Macaca mulatta: one gene and its partner. The protein of the gene in region 2 binds, or shares a complex with, the protein of the main gene of each other region. Links are inferred from orthologs where the notes say so. Each region holds a gene or a part of one and is shown on either strand. Other genes may lie near its edges.

The links.
Region 1: DHX9 (region 2) and HNRNPU share a complex: the UniProt entries of both Homo sapiens proteins name them as parts of the coding region determinant (CRD)-mediated complex. The link is inferred for Macaca mulatta from reciprocal best matches to the Homo sapiens genes DHX9 and HNRNPU.

The regions. Positions count from the first base shown.
Region 1 is NC_133406.1:4,245,823-4,256,444, reverse strand, and holds the start of HNRNPU (heterogeneous nuclear ribonucleoprotein U), read right to left. Parts: upstream 8,812-10,622; 5' UTR 8,574-8,811; coding exon 7,883-8,573; intron 6,988-7,882; coding exon 6,876-6,987; intron 6,789-6,875; coding exon 6,715-6,788; intron 4,715-6,714; coding exon 4,575-4,714; intron 3,640-4,574; coding exon 3,540-3,639; intron 3,105-3,539; coding exon 2,992-3,104; intron 2,542-2,991; coding exon 2,278-2,541; intron 1,990-2,277; coding exon 1,870-1,989; intron 1,140-1,869; coding exon 1,011-1,139; intron 909-1,010; coding exon 740-908; intron 435-739; coding exon 180-434; intron 1-179. UniProt on the Homo sapiens protein: DNA- and RNA-binding protein involved in several cellular processes such as nuclear chromatin organization, telomere-length regulation, transcription, mRNA alternative splicing and stability, Xist-mediated transcriptional silencing and mitotic cell progression.
Region 2 is NC_133406.1:40,343,650-40,353,183, reverse strand, and holds the end of DHX9 (ATP-dependent RNA helicase A), read right to left. Parts: intron 9,502-9,534; coding exon 9,341-9,501; intron 8,259-9,340; coding exon 8,147-8,258; intron 7,493-8,146; coding exon 7,331-7,492; intron 7,237-7,330; coding exon 7,109-7,236; intron 6,188-7,108; coding exon 5,958-6,187; intron 5,807-5,957; coding exon 5,691-5,806; intron 4,812-5,690; coding exon 4,611-4,811; intron 2,971-4,610; coding exon 2,604-2,970; 3' UTR 2,193-2,603; downstream 1-2,192. UniProt on the Homo sapiens protein: Multifunctional ATP-dependent nucleic acid helicase that unwinds DNA and RNA in a 3' to 5' direction and that plays important roles in many processes, such as DNA replication, transcriptional activation, post-transcriptional RNA regulation, mRNA translation and RNA-mediated gene silencing.

The sequences.
Region 1 (10,622 bases), about 36 Mb from region 2:
GTAATGTTTAATTCTAACCATTAACAACATAACCTAGGTGTATTTACTGTCAAATTACATGAATACTAATTACTGTGACAGCATACCATTAATGAGGAAGAAACCAGCTATATCCAAACTATAAAATTATCATTTGTTTCGATCCTGAACTAAATACAGAACACTCAAAATTAACTTGCCTCCTCCTCTGAAATTTCCACCACGCATATTGAATCCTCCACGTCCTCTATGGCCACCACCTCTGTTAAACTGGTTCTTGCCACTCTTATTTTTATTGCTTTTCTTTGAGCCAGTGTTCTGTTTCTTTTCTGGTGGAAGAGCCTTTTTGCTTTCTTCCTTATATTGCTCCAAAAGTTTTTGGGCTTCTTCCTTCTGAAGTTCAACATAGGTTATTTCATCAAAGCACTCAGCTACCTCTGGGAGGGTAAAGTTTCCTGCAGGAAACAAAGTCGTATTATTAACTTAGAAACCCACCACAAATCCCCACAATCCTAAAGCTAACAAATTATTAAGGTTTAGTAACGTATTTTCCTAAAAATAAACAGAAATAGACCAAACATATATGCATATTTAACAAGTGCAATTGTAATTCCTGAAGCAGTATTGCTGGAAAAAATGTTAACTTTTCAGAGGAGTAAGTCCTAATAGATATAACAAAGTTACACAAGCAGAATATGCATGGAAAAAAAAAAAAAAAAAGATTTAACACACTTAACAGAATTAAATTAAAATTCCATGCCTTTCATTTTGAGGACCGCATGTTCTGGTAAGTCTTTCCCCTCTACTTCTGCTTTCTTCTGTGTTCTTTGCTTATAGTCTTCATCTTTTGGGCACACTACAACAGCTTTTCGCTGGAAGCCTGCGAACAGGCACATTTTTCTCCTCTGGGCAGCAGCAGACACATTTGTCTTTAAAAAAAGAAATTTATGTTTACAACCCTAAATGTTAATTCTACACCAATCTATCTAAATTATCAGTTAATATTTTTCATCTTCAAAGCTACAGCATACCTGATCCAGAATGAAATTTCGCTTCTTTCGGGCAGCAATCTCAATAAATTTCCCAAGACACTGTGGGGCTCTCTGCAACAGTGTGTTCAGTTTTCCAGTATCTGCCATTTGCTTCTTAAAACCTGCCACCTATATTCAAAAGTTAAAATTTCCCCTTGAACTTGTGAATTTTAATAAGTTATGCTTTTTAAAATTCAACTCTCATCTATATGTAAAGCAGGCAACATACATTACCTTTGTCCATTATTGTTACAAAAACAGGGTCACTTAAACTATGTAACAAGACCCTACACCCTACACTTAATTCTTTTTAGCTTCTAGAAACACTAGCAGCTCCTGTGCTCAAAAACACAGAAGCCTAGCCACCGGAAGGCAGTTTACCCTCACAGAGCTTACTTAAAGAACCAACTTAATCTTGCCTTTCCTCCCACCTTCTTAAGATATTAACAAAATGGATACAGACAAAGGCAAAAGGTTTACCTAGAATACCTCCTAGTCTATCATTTTTCTTTTTTTTTTTTTCTGAGACAGAGTCTTGCTCTGTCGCCCAGATTGGAGTACAACGGCACGATCTCGACTCACTGCAACCTCTGCCTCCCAGGTTCAAGTAATTCTCCCTGCCTCAGTCTCCCAAGCAGCTGGGATTACAGGTGCCCACTACCACGCTTGGCTAATTTTTGTATTTTCAGTAGAAATGGGCCTTTGCCATGTTGGCCAGGTGGGTCTCAAACTCCTGACCTCAGGTGATCCATCCACCTCAGTCTCCCAAAATGCTGAGATTACAGGCGTGAACCACCATGCCCAGCCTTCTCCTCGTCTATTTTAAACACTGAGATGAGGCCCTGAACATTTTACTTACCATCATTTTATCCATAATAGTATTTGTGCCAAGAATGTTGTATTTCCCTGGATTTTCCGCTGCATGCTTAGTAACCCAGGTAGTTTTTCCAGCTCCTGGCAAGCCAATCATCATCACAACCTAGTGAAAATAATGAAATGTCATTAGACACCACCTAATAATTCTTTAAATATTGTTCTATTAAGGCCAATTTAAATATCTAAGTCTTCATAGCCCTTATACTAAGGGACAAAAATTTGTGTTTATGGAAAGAGTAACAGTCAACATAAGGGGAAAACAATGGTTACTTAAGAGAAATATGTACAGCACAAAGTAAACAGACTAATCATCTACCTCTTCTAAATGTCATTTTGTGCCAGTCAAACAATATTCAAATGCCAGTTAAAAAAAAAAAAAAAAATCACTTACTTCACAATCTTTCTTCTCTTCAGGCCCCTTTGGTCCTCTAACTCGATCCTCTAAGGGGACATTCTGGATAAAAGTATACTCTTCAGGTATTGGAAAATATGGCTTTTCCTTCTGACCAAAATTAAATTCAACTGCACAGTTGTGGCAGAGAACATGCGGGAAGAGTGGCCGTCCAGCAAGAACTTCCTTACTGATTTTGAAAGCAATGCCAAGATCTTGTCCATTCTTAGCATAGGAGAGTTCTACTTCATCACTTTCAAAGTTCTGTTAAACAGCAAAAAATTCAAGTTATCTGCTTCCTATAAACTTTCTAAAAAACTAATAATTAAAATTAGGAGCAAAGCTTATCCTGTGGGAGCTACAGGTTAAACAACTATTAAGTGGCCTCTAAGGGCTACACAGTTAAGAAATCTGATGGTTACAAACAATGAAGCACGTATCTCCAGAACCAGAAACAATAGTGACCTAGAAGTTAGACTAAATTTTCTAGGTCAATTTCATCTTCATTGTTTTCAGTCAAAATGAAATTAGTGAGTTCCTCAAAAATGTCCTGTATTTTCCCAATTCAACTGCTGAATGAGTATTTATACTAACCCAGGGACTGGTGTATTTATGTTGCTCCTATTGAAGATTGACCTTAATAAAGCTTCTTAAAAGTTCCTAGATATAGCTACTAATTTGCCATTTATACATAGAAAGTTAGCTTTAACTTACAGCAAAACATGTAATCACATCATTTTCATCAAACTTTTCTCCATAATCTTCAGTCTCACAGTTGCATGTTTTTATTCCTTTTAGAGAATACCCGTAAGAAAATTCTTCTTCACCTAAGAAAGTAATTAACCTTCGTGAAGTAGATTTTTAAAATAGTCCAAAGACTCATCTATTTCACTACTTAAAATGTAGGCTACAAGAGAAATGAGCATATAACCTAATCACCTGTCACTGACACTATTACTTTTCTACCTCTGTACTAGAATTGATGAAAGTTAGGAGGGATATATATATATGCAGAGACCAAATTAGTTGACAATTTGCATATCATGGGTAAGATTTTATTTCAACCATAAACTTCTAATAAAGGAACAAAAACTAAAATGTAGCCTGTGCCTACTATGTGCTAATATTACTTGTCTGAAGTATTAACAGAATAGATAAAAACAGACAAAAGGCTTAGAATGCCTTCTAGTCTGGTTAAAAAATAAGGATATCAGACCCTCCTAAACATTCATGAGCCCACATCAGTCAAAAAGAATCTTTACCAAGTAACATTCCACTTGTAGTTAGTGACCAGCCAATACGAACTTCATGTATGTCAATATCTTTTGTATATAAATGCCTTACTGGGATCTTCTCTGTAACCTGAAAGTCGAATCATTAAATAATTAAAATCATAAACCAAGGAGGTAACCCCTTAACTCTGGCTTATTTCATAGGGTCATGAGCTAATCTTCCTCGAGCTATAAATACAAAGAGATGGCACACTCTAGCCCATCCCTAATATTTGTAAGAACTTTAAACTGATGTGCTTATAACTTGAAATGTTAAATACTTATTTGACCCATATTTAAAAGAATAGTTAATATTTTTACAGTTCATGTTGTCAGTCTTCAACTTAAAGCCAATTAAAGGATACATTTAATGTTTTTCTCGCCAACAAAACCTGTAATCTAACCAAATTTTATTTTTCACTCTTTGGTGGCCCTTTCAAATGCTTGATAAAAATGAAGTACCCTAAATAAAAAGTTGCCTAGCTCTGCATGTCAAGTTCTAACATAACTTAACTGTCACAACAAAATGAAGGTTCCAAGTTCCTCTTTTAATTTACAGGAAGCTTCAAAAAATAAGTACCTCTGATAACTTAGCAGTATGAAGCACCTGTAATTTCAGTATTCTGGGAGGCCCAGGCAGGCAGATCACTTGAGCTTACGAGTTCAAGACCAGCCTGGGCAACATGGTGAGACCCTGTCACTATTTTAAAAAGAAAAAAAGAAAAGAAAAAAAAAGGCTGGGCGCGGTGGCTCAAGCCTGTAATCCCAGCACTTTGGGAGGCCGAGGTGGGTGGATCACCTGAGGTCAGGAGCCCCGTTCTCTATTAAAAATACAAAAATTAGCCAGGTGTGGTGGCACGTGCCTATAGTCCCAGCTACTTGTGAGGCTGAGGCAAGAAGAATCACTTGAACCCAGGACGAGGAGGTTGCAGTTGAGCCTGGGTCACACCACACCAATCCAGCCTAGGGGACAGAGTGAGACTCTGTCTCCAAAATCAAACAAAAACATCATAAAATTGCATTTACCTTCATCTCAAAACACACTTTGCCTTTTGACACACCATAAGATGCTCTTCCTCCAGCCCAAAGAAAAGCAAAACTTTCCATTGTAAGGGAAGAAGCACTGAGACGATCTCTTGATATTTTAAAATGTAGATCACAATTATCTGTAATTATATCAAATACTGTGTTACTTTTGACATCCAATGTAAACATATATGCTATGTAGAGAAAACTTGGTTATTTAATTTTTGCATGTACTTAACGCTGCACAACTTTTCTCCACATCATGCTGTTGTTCCAATTTTCAGTTTAAAGCCCCACTCCCACCAAGTCACTCCTTTTAAATTATGTACTGAAAAGTAAACTGCCTCTGAAACTAATACCAAGGTTTAACATGTATATTTTAAGTATTTAAAATAATCAAGACAATGTGACATTAATACATACCTGCTCTGCTCTTTACCTTGATTTAGAGGCAAGCAGTAGAGGATAGCAGGAAATCAAAGTGAAGCATGCCAGAACCAGGTAGATTTACCAGTGCCACATTAAAACTGAAGGGAGGCCACGACCAAATTATTTTGAAACAGGAGTATGAGCTGCTGTTGATCCTGCACCAGGGCTCTAGCTCCTAAATTCTTCTTCTAAAACTTGTGAAGAAGACAGCCTAAATCTATGAAGTACAAACCTGGCCGTCTAATGCTGTTAATAGTGCAGCATTTTAGGTCCTCTTTACCCAGGACTGCCTGTTCAACAATTAGGGATTAACTGCTTCCCGGATTATCCAAATCCAAAGTGTCTTTAACCTAGCTACCTATGGGTCACTGGCTCATTAACATGCACCTTCTCAGACTTCTCACTTCAACAGCTAAAGTCAAGCTGGAATTCAATTTTTTTTTTACTGATCAGAGAAAAATAAATCTACAGTTTGGAATTTTTCTTAAATTAGAATTACTGTAATCAGCAGAATTTAATTCAACAGATTGTTTGAATTCAACATTGTGTTTATATTGACATATGCCTATCTGATTTGCTAAAAAATCTAACAATTACATTACCTGCATGAGTCACCACTTCACTACCTTGCCAATTCCTAGCAACTTTTTATTTACACAACCCAGAATTTCACATAAAACTTTCAAATCAACTAACTCCTTTTTCACCTGCAGTTTTTTACTTTAAAAAGGCTCAGATGACTATCTCAACCTTCTGTAAAGGACATTCCAGTAAGAAAGAGTTTTACATTTACACTCTTACAAATCTGAATAAAACCAAATTGTACAAGAAAACATGAGAAGCTAAGCTTCAATGCCCTCCATCTAACAGAGCAGGCTGACACCACAGCTGATACTTTCAAACAGGTATTTCTATTCTTTGGTCTATTTATCACACCCAGAGTTGTGAATTCTGGTCACTAAACCAACTACTTTTTTTTATAACAACAACAAAAAAAATGCAAGTCTGACAGTCAAAGCCCACTTAGAGGTTTGCAATACTTTCTCATACTCAATTGCAACCCAACTGGGTGAAGTAGCAGTATTTACAGTGCTGCACTGCCATTGATACCATTCGCTGCTGAAGAAAGCTAGTGGCCCAGTGATAGCCCACTGCTGCTGCCTCAGGTCTTTGGAAGAAATCAACTTATGTTTAAAGCAGCAGCTACTGAACTGGAATTGAGAACAAAAGAGCAGTTATTGAAAAAATAATATTACAATCTTTTAGAATAGGGAATATACTTGTGTGCTAATGGGAGAAGTCATTAGTAAATATTTAACTAGCCCAAATAGCTCACTTAATATAATTCCACAAAAAAATGAATTACTTTATTGTAGAAGCCTGTAAGGCTAAATTATAGGTAGTGTTACAAGTTTCCGTTAGCTAGTCAGAAACTGGCATTAATTTTACATTTCCTAAGAACGAGAACTTTCAAGTCATAAAAATATGAAACTCCTAGAGCCTGTAAAATAATCCATTTGATACAACTGATGCCGTGCTAAATATTAAACTACTAGGTTCTGAATATAAACCATTATCTCTTCCTGCTTTTAAAAAAACCTAACCCAACTTTTGCTGCACTTAAGCATTAAGTTTTCTAACATTTTGGAAGCAAAAAAAAAAAAAAAACCATCACCGCATTTCATAATTGGGGAGAAACAGCTTCACTTACAAGTATCAAGACAAACCACTGTGTCATCGAAGTGTTCATCTTCTTCTTCAACCGGTGGCTGAGGAGATTTGGCTCTGAAAGACAGAATTGTCTCCTGATACAGCTTTCCGATCAACGAACGAATAAGGGATGACAAGTAAAACTAGGTGAGCATCCTATACCTGCTATACTTGTTCTCTTCAATGTACTCAAAATATCCACGGCCATGATCTTCTCGTGGTCTTTTAACACCCCTCTTTTTATCTCCGCCTTTCTGTTCTGTTTTGCCGTCCCCTAAAACACACAAGACCCCCATAAGAGGCCAAGCCGCTAAACAACAACAAAAAAACGCTTTTCCGTTCCGAGAAGCAAAGCAGCTCGACTTTATCCTGCTTTTTAACCGAGGTTTTAACCGAGGACTCAAATGTGAATTCGAAGAACAATCAGCTACGAATTGGATTAGCGCTAGTGACGCAGTCTAAAGACGTTACGAATTTTGCCAGTCTCCTCGATGATTCGAGAAACCCAAAGAAAAACTGCGCGGCCCAGGCCCGAAGCCCACGTGTATCGCGACCAGGGCGCAGGAGGGGGAGGGGCCGAGCCCGGCGCGGCGGCGCTCCCCTCCCCCGCGGGCCCGCGCTCCCCGCGGCCGCATTGTACTGATCTTCCGCCCCCCGCCCCGCCCCGCCCGGCTCCTCCCGCAGGAAGTGACGTCACGCCGAGCCCCTGCGCTCCTTGCACAATACAGCGGCGAGGAGCCGCCAAAGCGCGCCCGCCCCGGGACCTGGGGCCTCTCCCCTCCCCCCGAGACATGTGCCCGCACCGCGCGCACGCAGCGCGACGGCGCCACCGCGGGCCGACCGGGCTCCCTCCCGCCGCCCGCCCGCGGCTCCTCCCCCTCCAGCGGCAGCTGCAGCTCCCCCCGGCTCTCGAGCCACATAATGGAGGCGCTGCCACCGCCGTCACACACACACACACACACACACACGAACACACGCACACACGCCCCGAGCCCGAGGCCTCTCGGCTAATCTGGGATTCCCCGCGCCCCCTCCCCCACCCGCCACCCTCCCCGCGGCCCCCCGCCCGCCCGGGGCTCCCTCCCCCTGCGGGGCTCCGGCAGGCCTGGGGCACGGTCCCCACCCCGCGCGGGCCTCCCGCCGCGCGCAACGTACAACGCAGCACTCACCCGCCGCCGGAGCCCCGGGGCGACCGCCGCCTCCGCCGCCTTCCGCCTTCTTCTTACCTCCCGCCTGCTGCTGGCCCTGCCTCGCCCCGGGCGGCGCCACCGTCACCGCGAACAGCGAGGTGGGGCCGCTGCTCTTCCCCGCGGCCTCCTTGGCGGCCCCGCGCTGCTGTTGGGTCTGTTGCTGCTGCGTCGCCGGCGGTTGAGGCTGCTGCTCCCCGTGCCCGTTCTCGTCGCCCGCGCCTTCCTCTTCGTCCCCGAGCTCATCTTCCCCTTCCTGGAAACCCTGATCGTCGCCGTTCTCGTCTTCCGAGGCGGCCTCCTCCTCCTCCATCGGGCCCGAGTCGGCCGCCCCCGCGGCCCCGTTCTCCTCTCCTAGCTCCATCTGGTCGCCGTCCAGGGCGGAGATTCCTTCCTCCTCCTCTTCCTCTTCCTCCTCCTCTTCATCGCCGCCGACCGCGGCCTCCTGCTCGAGGCCTGCTCCCGAGCGCCCGGCGGAATCCCCGCCCAGGTCTAGGCTGCCGTTCCCGGGCTCCATGGCGGGGCGGCCCCCGGCCTCCTCGTCGTCCAGCGCGGCCTGGAGTCGCTCCATGAGCTCGGCCTTGAGACCCTTGTCAGAAAGGCGTCGCTTCTTGAGCTCCTCTTTCAGCTCCGACACCTTCAGCTTTTTTACATTAACAGGCGAGGAACTCATGGTGAGGGCCCCGATTCACCGCTAGGCGCTGCCTCAAACTCGGCTCCGCTCACTCGGCCACTGGTGGCGGCTGCTGCGGCTGCTCCTCGGCCCGGGCGGCGGCTGCGGCTGCGGCTGGAGATGGGGTCGTGCTGCAGAGCGGATCCGCCTGGTGTCGAACGGCGCCAATTCCTTTCACCGAGTTCGCGAGGGAGACGCGGAGACTCGCCTGGCGCGAGCGAGCACGCAACGTCCTCTCGCAGGGGCGGCGCCGCGCACGTAATATAGGCGCCCCGCCCCCTGCGCTGACGGGAGCGCTGCGCAGGAGGAAAGCCGGAGCGCGCCCGCGCTCGGCCCCGCCCATTACCGTACTTACCTCCCCGCCCCCACGCCGAACCCGGGCTGAGAGCGCGGCGCAGGCCGCGCAGTGCGCTTCCAATTGGGACTGAGCAAATGGAGGAAAAGGAAACCGCCTTTCAGTTAAACCGACTCACTGCACAATCTATTGGCCTTTCTGGGTCTTTGGTGGCTATACTCGTTTGGCTTTTCGCCTTCCCAGCCTGGAGGCTGCTTTGTCCAAATGCTTTCTTCAGTCCTCAACTTGGCATTTCAACCCGAATCCGCCTTTTCTTCCATCTTAGATCTGCCTTCTTGTATGTTTCTCCAGCTTTCCGTTTAAAACTCCTTCAAATCGTTTTGACTGGTATAACACACATTGGCAACTGTTACACGCAGGGGCTCTTTTCAGCATAATGCTGTATTTGATTTAATATGTGTAAGTCCTGCTTTGCGAATTGGATTTTAAGTTCGAGAAGGGCAAGGGCAGAGCCGTTCTTTTGTCTGTTCCACACCCCGGGTGCAGGGCCTGGGAAGTAGAGGCTTTGCTTACTACTCCATACTGCAAACCCTAGTTTACCAGCCTTTGCAGGGCTATTCTCATGCTCTTAATAACCCTAAATAAACCACAGAATTGCATTTCCAAGTTTTCTGTACCTACCACAAAGACGGACCTCCAGTAAGGCTTGTTCTGTCCACTTTAGGACCTGGTCATCGGCTATGAAGTCTCAGTAGTTAACCATGAGGGTGAGACCCAGCTAGGTCTTTGATTATAGGCCCACTTGATTCTCTTCCTATTCCTGTAGAAATACTCTTGACCAAATCATTCTGAAACTTAAAGTTCATGAAAAATCAAGGGCAGTGATTTTGTTAAAAAAAAAAAAAAAAAAAAAAGGACTATCGCTCTTGAAAAGAAATCCGTTATTTTGTATGTTAGAAGTTTACTTTTTCGCTTTAAATAAAAGATGTGATGTTCCCGAAGTTTTAGACAGGGAAGTCAGAATTTAGATTCGTGATAGAAGTTAACGTCTTAAACCCCAGATAATCTGCAGTGTCCAGCCAGTGTTCCATCTGACTAAGGAGATGGTTTATACCCACTGTTTGGTACTCTAGGTGGCACAATAATATTGCCCCATTATTAATTTGAAATTTGGAGGTATACATATTGAAATTTCTCCCATAGGCTAATGGGATTTAACTGATTGATGCATTTTACTTTTGAAGTTTATTTTCAATGGCTTTTATGAAGCATTCTGTCATACCTTGCAGCCATGTATACGTGAAATATTAACATTTGTGAAATGATTTGACTTGAAATTAATGGACTATGTACGGTACTACTGATAATCCCCAGTTCAAGTTAAGTGGTGAGGCGAGCCCCCAAAATAGAAACTTCCAAACAGTGCCAGAATCTCATTTTAGCCTTTGGTTATAATGTCTTTGAAGGTTATAAATATGCCACCAACTTGAATTTGAAACTTCTTTATTTTTGTTCAAAAATGGGAAGAGAGCTACAGGGGGCTTACACGTTCACAAACTAGGTAATTAATCCCTTAATGAATCAGAGTTAAATACAATTATGATGGTTCTTTAAATTTATGTGTCCTAGATATTATTTACACTTTTAAATATTAGTGATATGAAAACAAATTTCGTTTACTGGAAAACACTAAACTACGAAAACAAAGTTTGCATATCTACGTATACTAGATCTCTAACAGTCACTCTTGGAAC
Region 2 (9,534 bases):
TGGGAGGTAGAGGTTGCAAGTGAGCTGAGATTGCGCCACTGCACTCCAGCCTGGGTGACCCTGCCTCAAAACAGAAATTCAACAGTAGTTGATGTCTGAAGGTATTAATATACCACAAAATACTCTATGTAGCCTTCTGCTCTTTTAAGTCTCATCTAAAAAAAGGCATGATTTCTGGACTTTATAATGGATTCTTTGACAAGTGAAGTGGATTCCCACTTACAGCTATGACAAGTACAAATGGCACTTAACCTCCCATGTAAGCAACTAGTGAAACAGCTGCTTTCAGACATTAGGCAACAGGCAATGCAGAACTGTGATCCCCCAATAAGGAAAACAATGAGACAAGTCCATGACTATGTGGAAGCACTTTCTGGGTCACCGCGGAGGGAGAAACTACCAAGCAGAGCACTGCAGTTATGAGACAAACGAGTTTGGGGAGGACAGCTGAAATGTGTGGGGCACACACAGCGGGGAGCTACATATGAAGCTCCTTAGGTCTTCAGCTGAATATGAAAAGATTAGAACTATGCCTTAGTGCTTTTTTTCAACCTTTAGAGAATGCACTGACAACTTTTGGCCATTTTTCAATTTCACATTTCTAATTGAATTTGTTGGAGGCATGAGTACCATTCAAATGAACCATTATTGATTTTATACTAAGGGAGGAGACCATTCCTCGTATCATCTTATGCCCGATTTCTGCCTCCAAAGAAAGAAGTAAAAACTAAAAGGCAGAAATGAAATCCACAGGCAGACAGCCTGGCGCCACACCCTGGGCCTAGTAGTTAAAAGACTGACCCCTGACCTAATTGGTTATCTATAGATTACAGACATTGTATAGAAATGCACTGTGAAAATCCCTATCCTGTTTTCTTCTGATCTAATTACCAGTGCATGCAGCCCCCACCTGCTTGCTCAATCAATCATGACCCCCTCACACGCACCCCTAGAGTTGTGAGCCCTTAAAAGGGACAGGAATTGCTCACTCGGGGAGCTCGACTCTTGAGACAGGAGTCTTGCTGATGCCCCGGCTGAAAAAACCCCTTCTTTAACTTGGTGTCAGAGGAGTTTTGTCTGCGGCTCGTCCTGCTACTATACCTTTTATGGGAGTTTTCACAACGTGCAAAGGGAGAGAAAGCATGCTCCATCAATGGTGCTAGTTCAGTATGGCTAGCTACAGCTGTACAGCAGAAATGAAGGTAGAGCTGGAGTCAGGGGCTAAGAAGGGAGTTTAGCCTCTACCCTGCCGGCAGTAAGAACCATTGGTTTAAGTCAGGAGAGAGGGTATGAAATCAGATTCGTTTGGGAATGTTTACTCTAGCTGTAGTGGAGATTAGATTGAGGCAGGCCTGTAGGCAGGATCAGTTAAGTGGTTGCTGTGGCACTGTATGTCCAAACTAAGACTGAATAGAACAGAGGCAACTGATCTATAAAAGTATATTGAAAGATGTTTTGAGCTGACTAGAGGTGGTGGCTTAAGCAATTAAGCAGCTGAAAACTCCAAAGAAAACGGAGCAGAGAACACAGTACTGTCAGGACATAGGGTAGGTTGGGAGGGGAAGGAGGTCAGTTTGGAAAGCACTGAGATTTTTTTCTGTGGGATATTTAAGCAGAGATACATGTTCAGTATGCAGCTGCTTACATGGCTCAGAAAGGAAATCAAGGTTGGAGATAGACTTGTGTGTCTGTAAATATGTGCCATCAGCTTAACTGCTGAAGGTGATCTACAACATATATGCAGGATAAAGGACTTTGAAAAGGAAACCAAGACAAAAATATGACTTGCCCAAGATCATCCACATGGTGGAGAAAAGAATTAAGACAGACCCAGTTCTGTCTAATCCAATACCTTTGCCCTCTCCCATTGCTCAAATGAGAAATCTGCAAATTCACTGGAAACTGTAAAGTGTTATAAATGTATGAACATGTCTATTAAAGTGGCTTAAGAGTTCTAACGGAGTGATTATATTGCTTTTAATTGTCACAGTAGAAACTCACTTAGAAAAGAAAATGCTGGCCTTGGTCTTATTCAAAGACAGAATATGGGAGGAAGCCAAATGTTCAGCCCTAGGTCAAAAGTTTTATTCAGGTTTATGTGGCTTGTACACTTGCCAGTATTTACTTCAAAAGGTAACAATTCCAAGGTGATTTTTCTATTACAAGTAGTATCACTTAGTATACTTTTGAAACATGGTACAACTTCTCTGACATTTAAAATGAACAGATGTAACTGGCATTATAAAATTTTCTAATATATAAGGTCAACAAACTACACGGCAAGTATTCGGTGTAATACTTTATTTTCTACTGTATTAAACGAAAGCCAGGAAAATACCAAGTTATTTAAAGGCAAATCTTTACTCCTTAAAGAAAAAATACAAACTGTGGTATTTTTAAGATAGATCGTTATATTTTACATAATATAAACAAAATCACTAATGCATCTATATGCTTGGTTTCCTTAAACTACAATGAACCACAGAATGGGTGAAAATGCATTTACTTTTTGGTGGCAAATAAACATATTGGAAAAAACACGTAACACATAGCATGCCTTTTTTTCCTTACTGTCTACACACAGGAACTGACATAACCAAGATTTAATAGCCACCACCTCCTCTCCCCTGTCCAAAGTAGCCACCTCCATAGGCCCCCCTACCACCTCCTCGCTGGAATCCCCCAGATCCTCTGTAGCCTCCACTAGGCCCTCTGTAGTCTCCTCCAGAGTTGCCTCTAAAGCCACCTCGGGAAACTCCTCTATAGCCTCCACCAACACCTGCACCATATCCTGCCCGAAAGGAGTTGGGGCTGCCACCATAGCCTCCGCTACCATAGCCTCCGCCACCATAGCCTCCACTGGTATAGCCACCGCCATAGCCTCCACCGCTGTAACTAGAACCTCCCCTTCTATATCCGCTTCCATTGTCGTATCGGGCCATCTTGGGAGGACGTGGACCATCTCCATACCTAGGAAAAGCACAAAACCATCACTTCAGCAAAGCATTCTTATTATTTCCCAACCACTCACCAAATGCACACAGTTAGTTATATTTGAAAATTTAATACATAAAGGGAATGAAGCCAAACGCACAAATCGAAATTGAAACAAAATTGATCTGCTATTCTAAAACAGTCATCAATTATATCCATCTGTTTTTCTGAAGTTCTTTCTGGTTCAATCTCAAAGGTTTTGAATTTTGGCAGTATGTCATTACAACTTTAAGAAGTGCTCTTACTCAGGTCAACAACATAGTGTTCCAAGAAGGCAAGCATTAGGAGAGGGTTCCTGGAGCTGCCAATAAACTATTTGGTCTTTATCACTAAAAGTTTTCCTGCAATAATTCTGAAATACGATTTTGAAAAATGTATATCTAATTTTGAAAAATTCTATCTACTACTGTAATTTAGGCCACCACATATTCATACATCCTAAACTCTCTTACGTATATCCCTTTCTTTCTAGTTTCTGGACTACTATCCCTCATAGAAACAGATTATATATACAAAGGTTCCTTGCTTACCAGCCCTCCTACCAAAAATAATCTCTCTTCTCCTAAACACCCATGAATACTTAATTTGTTATCTGCCTATGATGCTTACTGAATTATCCTATACATTTAAGCACCTAGGAGGGCCACAGTAAAGCCTAGTAAGAACACTGTTTCAGGAGGCATGTTGCCTGGGTTTGAATCTGGTTCTATCAGTTATTAGTTGTATGACCTTGAGTCTTATCTGTGCCCGGTTTCCTTATTTATATTAAAGAGAATGAGGATAACCATCTACCCATTTTATAGACAGACCAAATGCAGTAAGTCATTTTTGATGAGGAATTAGAGGTCATTTTTGGATAACTGGAAGGATTTTAGTACAATAGCATATTATAGTATTACTAAAACACTTAAGGTTTTGGGGTGGTATTGTGACCATGTTCTTAAAAGATATGAAGTGTATTGATGTAAAATGTGGTAGTGCCTACTACTTCATCACAAATGATTAAGGAAATGTACAAAACGCTGAAAATTAGTGAATCTAAACAAAGACTATATGGCTAAACATTGTATCACTTTTCTGCCTTTTTGGCAAGTATCAAGTATTTGTAAATAAAAACTCATGGGCAAAGGAAAAAATTTTAAAACCTGAAGCAAATAAAAATTTTAAGAATTAAGATAAATTTCTCATTTCTTTGCTTTAAGATGTCCATGCTCTTAGTTGTTTAAGATAAACAAAAACACATACACATTGGATAAAGAAGCAATTTAACATCTCATCAATATTTTTTCTTTAGAGATGCCAAAACAGTACCATGGAAAAAGGGCTATCTGGGCTGTGTCACTTCCCTGTCATGTGACCTACTCTGAACTACGTATGTGTATTTGTAAGATCCTTTTCCAACACTACCAATACGCACTGATGCGGTAGACCAATTACTAACAAAGGGACTAACAAAAGTAAATGACATTTTTGTTCTGAGTTTGTTAGATGGAACTAAACTATCTGTATCTAGAATTTTACTTAATAAGGCTTCTATCACTAACTCTAGGAATTCTAGACCTATGAAAGATCTCTCCCCTCTACTTGGTTCAATGAGAAGTTAATATGGTACTCACCGTGTACTGCCAATCATAAGGTTGATACCAGCAGCTGAGGGTCTAGAGATTTGACGGATCATGTTCAGCATACGTTCATTTACAGGGTCCAACTGGCTGATGATAGCAGGTTGTTTGGTTACTTCAACAACAAGAGCCTCCATGGCTGCCCGGAGACCGGTGATACAGGCAGCAGCTTCATGAGATATTTGCAGTTTAATCCTAAAGTGGCGAAAAACATTAAAAGTAAGAGAGGGAGTATATGAAGAAAAAGACCATTATCTCTCAACCTCACACATGGCAAGTTAAAGAATAAATTTAACTTCTTAAGCATTAATATTTTTAAAAACTACTTAAAGTCTATCAAGCCAAATAAAATACAAAAATATATGTAATATATAATAAACAAAAGAAAGTCCGGCAATATGGATCATTCAGACTTATTATTTTTTGAGACACAGTCTTGCTCTGTTGCCCAGGCTGGAGTGCAGTGGCATGATCTTGGCTCACTGCAACCTCTGCCTCCCAGGTTCAAGTGATTCTCCTGCCTCAGCCTCCAGAATAGCTGGGACTACAGGTGTGCACTACCACACTGGGCTAGATTTTTTGTATTTTTAGTAGAGACAGGTTTCACCATGTTGTCCAGGCTGATCTCGAACTTCCTGAGCCCAACTCATCTGCGGCACCCAGCCAGATCATCCAGACTTTAAAAGAATGAATTAAGAGACCCAGAATGCTGGCATTTTCTAGGTTTTCAAGAATATGATGGCTGAGCCTACTGGCTATCCATTAAGCTCTATTCCATTTTTGCCCAGTGCTTGCCACTAGTTTTGAATCAATATAGAGAGTATGTGAAAGTGTATTCAAGTTTCACTTAGATTGATTCCATAGTGGTGTGCATAGTGGTTAGACATGGCTCAAATTTCTAATGCATCTGCTTCTACTGGTATCCGTTTAAGTATATACTATGCAATTAAGTTAGATATAATTAGTATATATTTAAGTTATAATTAGTATATAATTAAGTTAGATTAGCAGCTGAATTCCATCATATTATAATTCTAAGAATTCAGTTTGGAGTTCACAGCGGAAAATCCATACCAGTCATCTACAAGCACGATCTGCCCATCAGATTGGACTTTCTTGGAGGCAAACAGAAGCAACTGCAGGGGGGTGACTAAAGTCATGCCTTTAGCAGAGATGGCTCGAGTTCGAATCTGCAAATGGAGAAAGAGACAGTACAAAATGGTTGACATTCCAACTTCCAAATACCGCCACATACTGTGCTTTGAAAATCAAAATTCATATTCCTAATGATTGTGAAGACAATTTCAACTTTCAATGTTAACTTTTGTAGTCTTTTCTTACCTTTTCACCAAATACAAAGAAGGGAGATGGGTACTTCATGTCTTGGCTACTAAAAGGACAATTAACAGATGATTTATGGATAAGTGCATTACGTCCTTCAGTGGTGAGAATCTTTCTCTTTTCCTTATGATAGCATACATTGGGGTACACACCAAAGGCCAGGAGGGAGATAACAACATCCAAATTATTATCTGGTCCAGTGTTAGTAAACACTTGTGTCAACAAACAATCTGTTAAGAGGAGCAGAGTGAAAAGAAAAATCAGATAATTGGCTGATCTTCACATTACATGCAAACTATTCAAGAAAATTCAGAGAACTGACTCTTCCTCTCTTCACATAACCTGTCTGTAAAACTTTCTCATCTGCTACTCTTCAATAGTTGTTAGTTGTAGAGAAGATGGAATGATAATCTAAGAGGACACCTACTGGAATGAAGGCTGACGTTTTTACCCAGTCTACACTTTATGAGTACTTAGCTACTGACTGGAAAGCATGACAGTCAACCGCTGAAAGCACAGACATATTTTGTTCTAGACAAACGAGTTCTAGCCTTATAACCTCGTAATTGGATAAATTAAAGACAATTTATACCTTGGTGCCTGTTTCATTACTTATAAAATGCATCTCAAGACTCTAGCACATAAAAAGTTTTCCCTTTCTTATAATTCTGAGGAGAAACTAACATTTCAGCTGGCTTATGACAGAAGAGAACCACTCACTACTCTGTTAAGTTATTCCAATCACAGCCGTTAAAAATTTACCATCTTGCCCAACTACCTTCTGTCTCTCAACAGTCTTATCTCTGGTTATGCATTCCAGTTCTCAATGTTTTAGGAAATAATTCTATATTTTAACCTAGTTGGAAAAGAAAAGTACTACAGTTCATCTTTATATTAAAGCCATTTAAAATTTAATGTGGTAGAATTTACTTCAAGTCTAAATGCTAATCAATTACTTTGCAAACCACTATAAGGTTATCAGCAAAGTACTCATTCTGGGAGCTGGACCAGTATCCATGAGAACTAAGAAATAGTTGGGAATATAGAAAAATCATAGGGTCTAAAATTTGAAGCTAAAATACACTTTGCTGTCAATTTGCATGTACTATATAAATGTCACTTTAAAGGTATCTTAAGAATGGGAGTCTTACCTTCTGGAAACCCAGAATTAATCAAAATCTCTTTGAGTTGAACTTTGGCTTCCCAAGTCATTCTTAGTGTAGCCATATTAAGTCTTTTGTGCTCACAAAAACGTATCTCTGCTTCTTCTCCACCCATTCTAAAATAAATCGGTATGAGAAATCATTCTCTAAGACCCGAGAACTAAATACAAATGAGAAACTACAGACAGACCACCCAAATCTTACTCATACCTAGCATCATCCCAGGCTTGGAATACTGATAAAAGGGCTACGTGATCAGAAAATCTGTTTCCAGCAAAATTTCGATGGATATAGCCCAGCCGCTTTCCTTCATTGATGAAAGGCTCTGGAAAGCAGGTAGCAGCAGCAATGGTACAGATAGCATCTCCCACGCTGAAATACACAAAGACAGTTAAATTCAGACTAGATCACAATATTGTTGCCAGCAGCTCAGGTAGTACTGTCGACAGTGAGTTGCAGTCTTTATGGCTATGATTCTACTTTTATTTGCAATGAAATTGGCTTAACAAAGAACTTTACAGCTGCTCTCTTCAGAATCAGAGAGAAAAAAAAAAAGGTGCGCTGACATTCCAATGGTCACGTACTTACCATAATTATGACCAAGTATATTTTTCCTTTAATATTCTCTCTCTCTTCCCCATCATACCAAATCTCTTTAATCTTCAACATTTTCTGATAAAATAAACCTCTTTTGCTGATGCTGCTCTTTCAAGACCAACTATTAATAACGAGGGACCCTCCCACCCCGGCCTCCCAAAGTACTAGGATTAAAGGTGTGAGCCACATTGCCTGGCCTGCTTTTTACTTATGAGAAATCAGTGCCCGTTTCCCCGTGTTGGGCCCAGATATCCATCTACTGGAACTGTACATTTTTTTCGTGTTATACTTCTCTCAATATTTAAGTATGTCACTTCCCTTAAGAACATTCAGAATTTTTTTGTCTGAGCCAATACTGCTTTTACAGGGAGAAGAAGATTCAGAAATTATTCTACCACTTAATGAAGAGAAATAAAACAAAGCACTTACTAGAAAATACACCCCATTATCATCATTTTCCCAAAACGAGGCTCAATGGGGAGTTTAGCCAGGATTCGTCCCAAAGGAGTCAACTCATCATTGGCATCTAATGCATCAAGCTCTGTGGGGAGATAGTTTTTTGTGAGTAGAAACAAATGAACACTAATTTTAGGCAGACAAAACATTACTTTCTAAATTAAGGTTAAGAGAGTTTAGACTTCCTCTTTTGTCAAGCCACTGCTAGTACCATGTCTATAGTCAACAATTCTCTTTACTCAAAAATAGAACAAAATCAAAATCTGGAGCACTCAACATAAGGAAGGTACAAAACTACATCCTGCAGGTTATAAAAACAAATACAATTCATATTAAGTCTATAAATACAGTATTAACTATAATAGCAGCATAAGTTTCTATATGCCATAAGAAGTCTGACACTCAACTGTTAATGTTTTAGAAAAAAAATAAAATCTGGAGAAAATTCTGAAGTTACATAGCAGATAAATGCTAGATTCAAAATTCAAATTCAGATCTAGCTCCAATGCCCTTAATTTTCACTGCACTATTTTCACTGCTTCTAATAAAACAACTTTAGCAAGAAAACATAAATGTTCCAGGCTGGACGTGGCTCACGCCTGTAATCCCAGCACTTTGGGAGGCTGAGGTGGGTGGATCACTTGAGGTAGGGAGTTTCAGACCAGCCTGGCCAACGTGGTGAAACCCCGTCCCTACTAAAAATACAAAAATTTGCCAGGTGTGGTGGTGTATGCCTGTAGTCTCAGCTACTCGGGAGGTTGAGGCAGAAGAATGGCCTGAACCTGGGAGGTGGAGGTTGCAGTGAGCTGAGATCACGCCACTGCACTCCAGCCTGGGCAATGGAGCGAGATTCTGTCTCAAAAAAGTTCTAAGAGATTCATATGAAATTCTGTGGGTATCCTAAATTATGTTCTGATCTTTAGTACATAGTTAAGAGATGCCTTTTTAAGTTTTCTTTTGTAAAGTAACACTCACTGTCCCTTTCTTCCCTCTCATTGCTCATTAGAACAGGGACTATATTAAGTACCTAAGGTAAGACTGGAGGCCTTGCTATTATTATCACGGCCCTGTTGACTACATCTTGATTCATTTGTTGTGTTATCTGCCAGGATAAGACAGATGGTATGATTAATATCTGTGTCAAGTAGGTTTGCATTTGTTAAGTACCTCTAAGAGTGTGTTCTGCTTCAATCACAGCATCCAAAGGGGGAGGTTCAATTGCTTTGGCCAGAAATTGGCCAATTCCTCCCAGACGCAGAAGTTTTATGCTAAGAGCGATTTCATGCAATGGTGTTCGGAACATCTCTGGTGTCATGTGGGTTTCAAGTCTGAGAGAAAACAAGCATAAAATAACCATCCTC